Oryctolagus cuniculus: one gene and its partner. The protein of the gene in region 2 purifies or fractionates together with the protein of the main gene of each other region. This does not show direct contact. Links are inferred from orthologs where the notes say so. Each region holds a gene or a part of one and is shown on either strand. Other genes may lie near its edges.

What was found.
Region 1: the proteins of ASXL2 (region 2) and OGT purify together in Homo sapiens (affinity purification with mass spectrometry; 3 studies listed by BioGRID and IntAct, with this or other methods). This does not show direct contact. The link is inferred for Oryctolagus cuniculus from reciprocal best matches to the Homo sapiens genes ASXL2 and OGT.

What each region holds. Positions count from the first base shown.
Region 1 is NC_091453.1:51,360,515-51,364,325, reverse strand, and holds part of OGT (UDP-N-acetylglucosamine--peptide N-acetylglucosaminyltransferase 110 kDa subunit), read right to left. Parts: intron 2,722-3,811; coding exon 2,596-2,721; intron 1,459-2,595; coding exon 1,288-1,458; intron 1,178-1,287; coding exon 1,061-1,177; intron 971-1,060; coding exon 800-970; intron 1-799. UniProt on the Homo sapiens protein: Catalyzes the transfer of a single N-acetylglucosamine from UDP-GlcNAc to a serine or threonine residue in cytoplasmic and nuclear proteins resulting in their modification with a beta-linked N-acetylglucosamine (O-GlcNAc).
Region 2 is NC_091433.1:176,870,816-176,875,232, forward strand, and holds the start of ASXL2 (putative Polycomb group protein ASXL2), read left to right. Parts: upstream 1-1,614; 5' UTR 1,615-1,898; coding exon 1,899-1,955; intron 1,956-4,417.

The DNA of each region.
Region 1 (3,811 bases), on a different chromosome or scaffold from region 2:
CTCATGAATGAAATATTCCTTTTCTAAATTGCATCGCTAAACTGAAATTATCCCTCCAAATGGTCTCCTCTCGCAACTGTCTCTCCCCACATTGATCATCAGCATTTCTGAGCTTCTACCTTATCTTGCAAACCCACACTTGCGAGTACTGCCTTATGCTGTTATTGCTGTTATTTAACTATTCTAGGCAGGTTCAGCCATTTCAACGAAACTGTTAACTCCTAAGAGGTCTGGGATCCTAGCCTCACACTCTCTTAACAGAGGTGCATACTCATTTATTCAAGCATGCAATACATTATTTGTTGAGTGCATATTACATTATTGTGGTTAACACACATGCCCTAGAGTAATTCAATTCACTGGAGGACACAGAGATAATGTCTTCTGTTGAATATCTCAAATATTACAAAAACACAACAGGGAGGTTATCAATGGAGTAGGGCTGAAGAGGTAAAACCTAAAGTACAGGAACAGATTATTGAGAGGAGCTGTCTGAATGTAAAGTGTAAGTACAATTTAGCCCAGGAAAAGGACACACATTTCACCATATGATAGAGAGCATAGCCACAGGCAGGGAATAACAAGATATTAACACAGTAAACTCTCTCTCAGCAACCTGCTGGCTGAATACAAGAGACTTTTAAATTCAAACCTACAAGGACACCAATTTCCACTGAACTCACATCCTCATCTGTAAAATGAGGATAATAATGCTTCCCTCCTAGAGTTAACTGTGAGGGTTAAAGAAGATAAACGCATGCTTGGTAGCACATGTAATAGACTATTATTCTTTTCTCACCTGTGTGGTTGCCAAGCCATTGCTAATACTAAATCCATTAATCGTTATCTGAATCTGTCCTCTATTTATCATTTCAATAACTGCTTCGGCAATAGTGTTCATAGGAATGACAGGCATATTAAGAGCCGTGTTACTGCTATCTGCATTGTCTCCTCCATCAGGACATTTCATCTAAAAACACAAAAGGATACAAAATACATTAAGGAAAGATCTCAAATGCAATTATCATTATTTCAATGGTAACACTGACGAGATTCTTACCTTCACAATTTTCACATCTGGTAGACTATCAAGAAATGCTTTGAGGTCGATGCCATTCAGAACTATCCGATTGTCGTAAATGTGCCCATTGGACTTAAAATCAATGACTGCTTTTTTCTAATGGAAAAAAACGTTTCAGACATGTCTCAGGGTGCATATGAGCAACAAGAAGGAAATACATGATGACAATTCTTTGAATCCCAGCCCCTCGGCAGTTTTCTACATACCTTCAAGTGAGGGAACATATTAGCATGATCACCAATAAAGAAAGTATGGGGCATATAAGCCAATTTCTCAGAATACTGCTCAGCAACCTCTGCTGGTGATGTTTCCTGATCAGTGATTATATAATCCATGAAAAGTGCACCGCTAGTCCCAGGGTATCCCAGCCACATCGCCTTTAAAAGAGAGAAAGACCAGAAACTGATTAAGAAACTTCATCGGTATACTTCTTTCTTAATTCAACAAACTGTACGCATTAAAGATGGATAGACTCTTTTGTACATGCATCACACCTCAATAAAGTGTTTAAAAAAAACATAAGAACACTCATTAAAAGGTTCCAAATTTAGGGGCTGGCCAGTAGATTAAGCCACTGCCACTTGGAATCTCAGCTATTCCAGTTCCAATCCAACTCCCTGCTAATGTACCTGGAAAAGCCACCCACCCAAGTGGCCCTGCCACTAAAGTGGGAGACCTGGATGAAGCCCCTGGCTCCAGCCTGGCCCAGCTCCAGCCATTGAGGCCATTTGGGGAGTGGACCAGCAGATGAAAGATCTGTCTCTGTTCTCTTTAACTCAGCCTTTCAAATAAATAAACCTTGGCCGGCGCTGTGGCTCACTTGGCAAATCCTCCACCTGTGGCGCCAACACCCCAGGTTCTAGTCCCAGTTGGGGCGCCGGGTACTAGTCCCAGTTGCTCCTCTTCCAGTCTAGCTCTCTGCTGTGGCCCAAGAGGGCAGCGGAGGATGGTCCAAGTGCTTGGGCCCTGCACCCACATGGGAGACCAGGATGAAGTACCTGGCTCCTGGCAGCGCCGGCCGTAGTGGCCATTAGGGGAGTGAGCCAACGGAAGGAAGACCTTTCTGTCTCTCTCTCACTGTCTATAACTCTCTCACACTGTCTATAACTCTCTGTCTCTCTCTCTCTATCTAACTGCCTGGCAAAAATAAATAAATAAATATAAATAAACCTTAAAAATTGTTCCAAATTTAAATAAATTAACAATTAGGATTAACTTCTTTAACCAAGAGCAATAAAGTAGTATTTTAGACTAATCTTCTAAGTGCCAAAATGTTTTTCAAATTTGTATAATTCAACCATGAATTGCATGTCTCCATACGGGTACATATGCATGTATCCAGAGGCACTGTGTTCTGCACTCAAAATTATGTGTCCCTGTACATTTCAAGAACTGTAGTTTCTAAAACATAACTAGGTCTGCTCTACTATTTCATGTATCTGTTAGCCTAAGGGAAAAAAATACATCACTATCTTTGTAGTCCAAGATACATCCCGAGTGACTAATTCCTTTACCTGAATAGGAGCTGGTCTAAGAGCAAAGAGCTCATTTCGTGCACCCTTGGTATAACCATTCATATTCACAAGGATGTGAATTCCATCCTGATGGATGCGATCAGCTGCTTTTCCATTGCATGGAATCTGTGGAACACAAAATAAGAATTCAGCACATATAATCTCAGAATAATGTGATTATTTTTAATGGCATTAAACAGAATTCAGATTCCCTGATGCAAAAGTAGTTAACAGAAATTAACCACACTGATAAAGGCCAAAATATGTGTAAGTGCCATTAATATGCACTCAAAGCATTACAGAAACAGGACACAGAGGAAGAAGAGTTTACCTCTGAACTGAATGTTTGGAGTAGTGACACGTCATAGCAGAGTTAGTATTTGAAAAAGACCTTCAAAGATTACAAGGAATGAGAGGGAATCTGAAAATATAACCTCAGAGGCCAACACTGTGGTATAGCAGGTAAGGCCACTGCATTCAGTGCCAGCATCCCATATGGGCACCAATTTGAGTCTCAGCTGCTCCACTTCTGATCCAGCTCTCTGCTATGGCCTGGGAAAGCAGTAGAAGATGGCCCAAATCCTTGGGCCCTGCACCTGCGTGGGAGACCTGGAAGAAGCTCCTGGACCCTGGCTTCAGATCAGCCCAGCTCCGACCATTGTGGCCATCTGAGGAGTGAACCGGCGAATGGAAGACCTCTCTCTCTCTCTCTCTCTCTCTCTCTGCCTCTGCTTCTCTGTAACTCTGCCTTTCAAATAAATAAATCTTCAAAAAGAAAGAGAGAGAGAAAATATAACCTCAGTAAAGAACAATTGAAAAGAACCAGAGTAAAGGACAAGGTAGGTTTAAAAAAGGTGAGGAGAAGCAGGTGCTGTGGCACAGTGGGTTAAGCCACCACTTGGGATGCCTGGATCCCGTATCAGAATGCCAGTTCAACTCCCAGTTACTCTGCTTCCAATCCTGCTCCCTACCAATGCCCTGGGAAGCAACTGATGATAGTTAAAGTACTTTGAGCTCCTGCTACCCATGTGGTAGAGGCCCAGATGGGGCTTCTGGCTCCTGGCTTCAACCTGGCCTTGCCTCAGTTGTCATGACCACTTGGAGCACAAACCAAGGAATGGAAGCAATCTGTTGCCGTGCCCCCTCCTTTTCCCCTGTCACTCTGCCTTTCAAATAAATAAATCTTAAAAACAACAAGAAGAAGGTAAGTAACTTA
Region 2 (4,417 bases):
TTAAGATATATATGGGCAGGGAAGAGAGGAAAAAATAATTTGGTAGAGTAGTGTGATAAAGAGACTTATTTAACCTGGAAGGATTCTGAGTATGCTTGTAGAAGGGGGGGGGGTCAGAACTAGAAAATAATGAACTAAACAAGAATGGTTCATGGAGCAACACTGGATAGAAGGTGAGGTAGGGTGGAGGCCTGTATGTAGCATGACGTACCCTTAAGACATTAGCTGCGGTGAGGAGGGGGAAGTTTCAGATTGGCAAATTCCTTTGTGGGCGAATTTGGGGCTGAGGGAAGGCAAGACTGCAACTGGTAGTCTCTAATTTTTATACAATGTTGAAGAAGACATGCTATTAGCTAAATGAAGAGGCAGACATTGAGGCGGGGGTCCTCAGGGGAGGGACAAATGCTGATAGAAGCCATCAGGGTAAGTGAGAGGATGAGTAGATTGAATACAGAGGTTGTGTCTGTACAGCTAAGACACTTTTCAAGCTACAGGGGATATGTTCGTAGGAGGGTGAGTAGGGTACTAAGAAGATAGTCTGGCATCCTACCAACAATGAGCTCCAGTAGGGTGAAAGTGAAACAGAACATTTAAGGAAGTCCAGAACTACCGTGGTCACTTCTGAGTGAGACGGGAGAAGGCTCAAGACTAAATTAATAGTCACCTGGAGAACCGTACCATGCCCTCTTGGGAATTACTTAAACTATCTAGGTTTGCGTAAAGTTAAATAGAAACTACAGCGTCCTAATCCACACGGCTCCACCATCGCTCTCAGCCATCTTTCCTCCAGAACCGGCCCAAGCCTCAGTCCTGTTTCAGAATATAGTTGAGTTCGGAGGCAGGGGGTTTCGGGATCAGCAGGGGGGGACTACACATCCTTCACTCGCCAACAGAGACCTAGATAACGCGACGGGAGATGCCACGCTGGGTCCCTCGGGAGGCACTGACGGACAACAGAAATAATGGCTTCTGACTGCAGCCCCCGCTGAATCATTCGGCAAATATTTACCAGGTGCCTGGACTTCCGGGCACCGTGCCAGGGGCTGAGCTCACAGCGATAAGAGACGCCACTTCTGTCCTTGACGAGAGGATTCACAGCCAGAGTGTGAGTGCCGGGGCCGGGGGAGACGCAAAGGGCTCTGAGCCGGCGACCTCCGGCTTCCACAAGTCCCAGGCTCCTGAGCTTGGCAAACCCGCCCTTGTGCGGCCTCATTCACCGAACGGCGGTAACAAGCAGATGAGTGCCGTCGCAAGCCTTCGCTAAGATAACTTTTGTAAACACGAGCATAAATGAGTAAACACGAGTCTCAGTGGAAGCGACAGTTGGCACGGTCACCCCCTCCGACCCCGACCCAAGACCCCCATCTTTGGAGCCACCGAGGCGCCCAGCGCGCAGCTCGATAAGCCTTCTCGGATGGATCAAGTTCCGCTTCCGCAGGCAGGTCTCTGCCGTCCGCTTTCCCTCACGCGCATGCTCCTGCGGAGGGGCGGAGACCGGAAGGGCGGGGGCGTGGCCGGGCGCCGCGGACGGCCGGCTCGTTCGCTGTGAGGCCGGGCGCGGGAGGCGGGGGCGCGCGCGCGCTCGTCCGCGCGGCCGGCTGCGTACAGTAGTGACGGCCGCGCGGGAGTGGTCACATGACCGTAGCGGCTGCCTGTACAGTAAGAACCCAATATGGCAGCGGCGGTCGCAGTAGCAACGGCAGCAGGAGGACCGGCCGCCCCATAGACCCCCCCGCGCACCACCCCCGCCGCTTCCTCTGCTCGGGCGCTCCTCCGGCCTGACTTCCCCTTTCTCCCACCTTTCCCGGCACCGCGGGAAAAGCAGCGCAGGGCAGAGCAGGCAGGGAGGGCGGCCGGAGCCCGGACACGGGAGCCTCCCAGTCAGTTCAAGACCCGACATGAGGGAAAAGGGCCGTAGGAAGAAGGGCAGGACCTGGGCGGAGGCCGCCAAGACGGTAAGGGGGAGGGAGCGAAGGGAAGGCCGGGAGGGTTTCGTTGCCCTGCCGCCCGCCAGTCGCAGAGGAGGGGAGGTCGCCCGCCCGGCGACCCGGCTGAGGGGGCGCAAAACCGCGCGGAGAGGGCGGCGGTTAGCGTCGGGGTTGCGATCCCTGCGGGAATGGAGGCGCCCGGCGGAAGGAGGTCGTGGCGGGGCCGTGGCTTCTCCCAGCGTGTGCGACGAGCCCCCTGGATGTGTGGAGGCTGCCTCTCGGGGTCACGTCGCCATCGCCCCCGCTCCGTGGGGGAGCCCCCGCCGCGGCTCGGGACGGGCTTGTTGTGCTCGCACCGTGAGCGGGCTCTCGTCCCTTGTGCGGCCGGAGAGCCCCCACTGGCCGCGGCCGGGAGGCAGGCTGGTGCGTGCACCCAGCCCGGGGGAGAAGAGGGGCAAGCCCGGCTGCTGCAGCCCGGCGGAGTCGGCCCGCCGCGGCAGACGAGCCGGCCGCCCCCGGGCGCCCTGCGCCGCTGGCCCTCGCAGCCGGCGCGGGCTCACGAGGCTTTTGTTTTTGTTTGCTGTTGGAGCTGAAAGTGCAGGAGGTGTTTAGAAACGAAGTAACAGGTGGGACTTGTAGGATTTTTTTTTTTTTTTCTGTTTCCGTAGAGACCTACTCCGAACAGGGCAGCAATGCATGGCGGGACGTGTAGTTTGCCCGGCCTCCGCTGGTCCGCAGCCCGGGGGCCGGGGGCCGGGGGCCGGGCCAGGTGGCCGCGGGTGGGCGCGGTAGCTCTCCCCTCGCCCTGATCGTGTAGTAGCGGAGTTGTAGAGGTGGGCTCAGGACAGTGGCGGCTCGCGGCGCGGTGGGAACTTTGGGCTGTGTGTTTTTCAGACGGGAACGGTGCAGGCGCGTGTGTCTGTAGGGATGGAGCCTCACACAGGCGGGAGCGGAGCGACAGGGTTGGCCCGCGGGGAAGCGAGAGTGGGTCCCGCGTGCACGCCGTGGATAATGTCGGTGATGGCTGGGACAGCGTGGGCAGCTCTTGTAAATGAACCTTTTTTTTTTTTTTTTTGAGTGAGGTTTTTCTAAATACAAAAAAAAAAAAGATTCACTTTGGGAACGTTTGGAAGATTATAGCAAAGTATAAAAAAGAAAATTAAAAAAAATCATGTATTTCACCCCTCGGCTATGTCTATTAGCGTTTTGTTATGTTGCTGTCTAGTCTCTTGTTTCCCCCGCATTTTATTAAGCCTCGTGCATTTGTTTTGTAAACCGGGCACATTTGTTTTGTAAACTTTATGCATTAGGGGGTTGATGAGGCTTCATCCTGCCTTTCTGGTTTAGGTGGAAATGTGGAAAGTCAAAAAATAGTAACGCTTTTATTTTACTGAGAATTTTCACCTACAGTACATCTCCGTAAAACTAGGATAAAATGCTAGAAATTACTTTGTTGATGATGGTGGGAAGGTTGCTCCTCCACAGATACTTTCTTCCTGATTAATAAAAGAAGCATGATTAATTTTAATTATAGGTAAGCAGACCTCAACCCGAATTATGTTAATTAATTTTATGTTGCTAGGACCTACAGAGTAGTGAGCTCCTTGGATAAGACAGTCTGATCATTGGGAGATAGTGACAAATAGCAAGAATTAGTCTACATCTAATCTGTGTAGATTTCCCTATAGCAAATTATTCTGTTTGCTCATTTCATTCTCTAAGTAGTTGTATGGAAAATTGCATTTAAAATCTGGAAAGACTAATTTGATCCATAGAGTTCTGGGTGAGGTCCAGAGGGGAGCAGTCTGTTACTTGCTTGTTTGGCAGATCTTCATCCTCATTACGTTTTCTAGGCAATCTCACGTGGGTGTGGTATGGATGTGGTATGGCCCGGACTGCTTTGTTGAGCCTGGTATCAATGCACACATCTGGAGTTCTCTTGTCCTTCATGGCAAACTTCCAGATCTCTGTGAGTGCCCGAGGAGCATGCTTCCTGAAGCCCACACCACGGACACGCGTGTGAATGTTGGTACATCCCTGGTCACCACCTCACTGATAGAAGAGCAGCTCCTCTTCATCCTTCCTGTGGGAGCCGTCCTGCAGGGCCCAAGTTGAATAACTTTTTCTTTAAGAACAAGGGTGGGCCTCTTATGCCTCGTTGAGTATATATTAACTGGTCCAGAGTCCTTTTAGGTCTATGTTTGCATTATATTTATAATCTCCAGCTTGAAAAAACCTTCACTGTTTTATAGTACAAACTAGAAAGTATAACTGGGCAAAATTTTCTTGGCTTGTAGAACACATGAAAATTAGAGCAGGAAACCACTGTAAGGGACACGGGGTAAAAATTGAGAAACTGCTCAGCTGCATACTTTTTTTTTTTTCCCAAAGATTTATTTATTTATTTGAAATGCAGAGTTACAGAGAGGGCCACTCCCCAAATGGCTGCAGTAGTTGGAGCTGGGCTGGTCTGAAGCCAGGAGCCATGA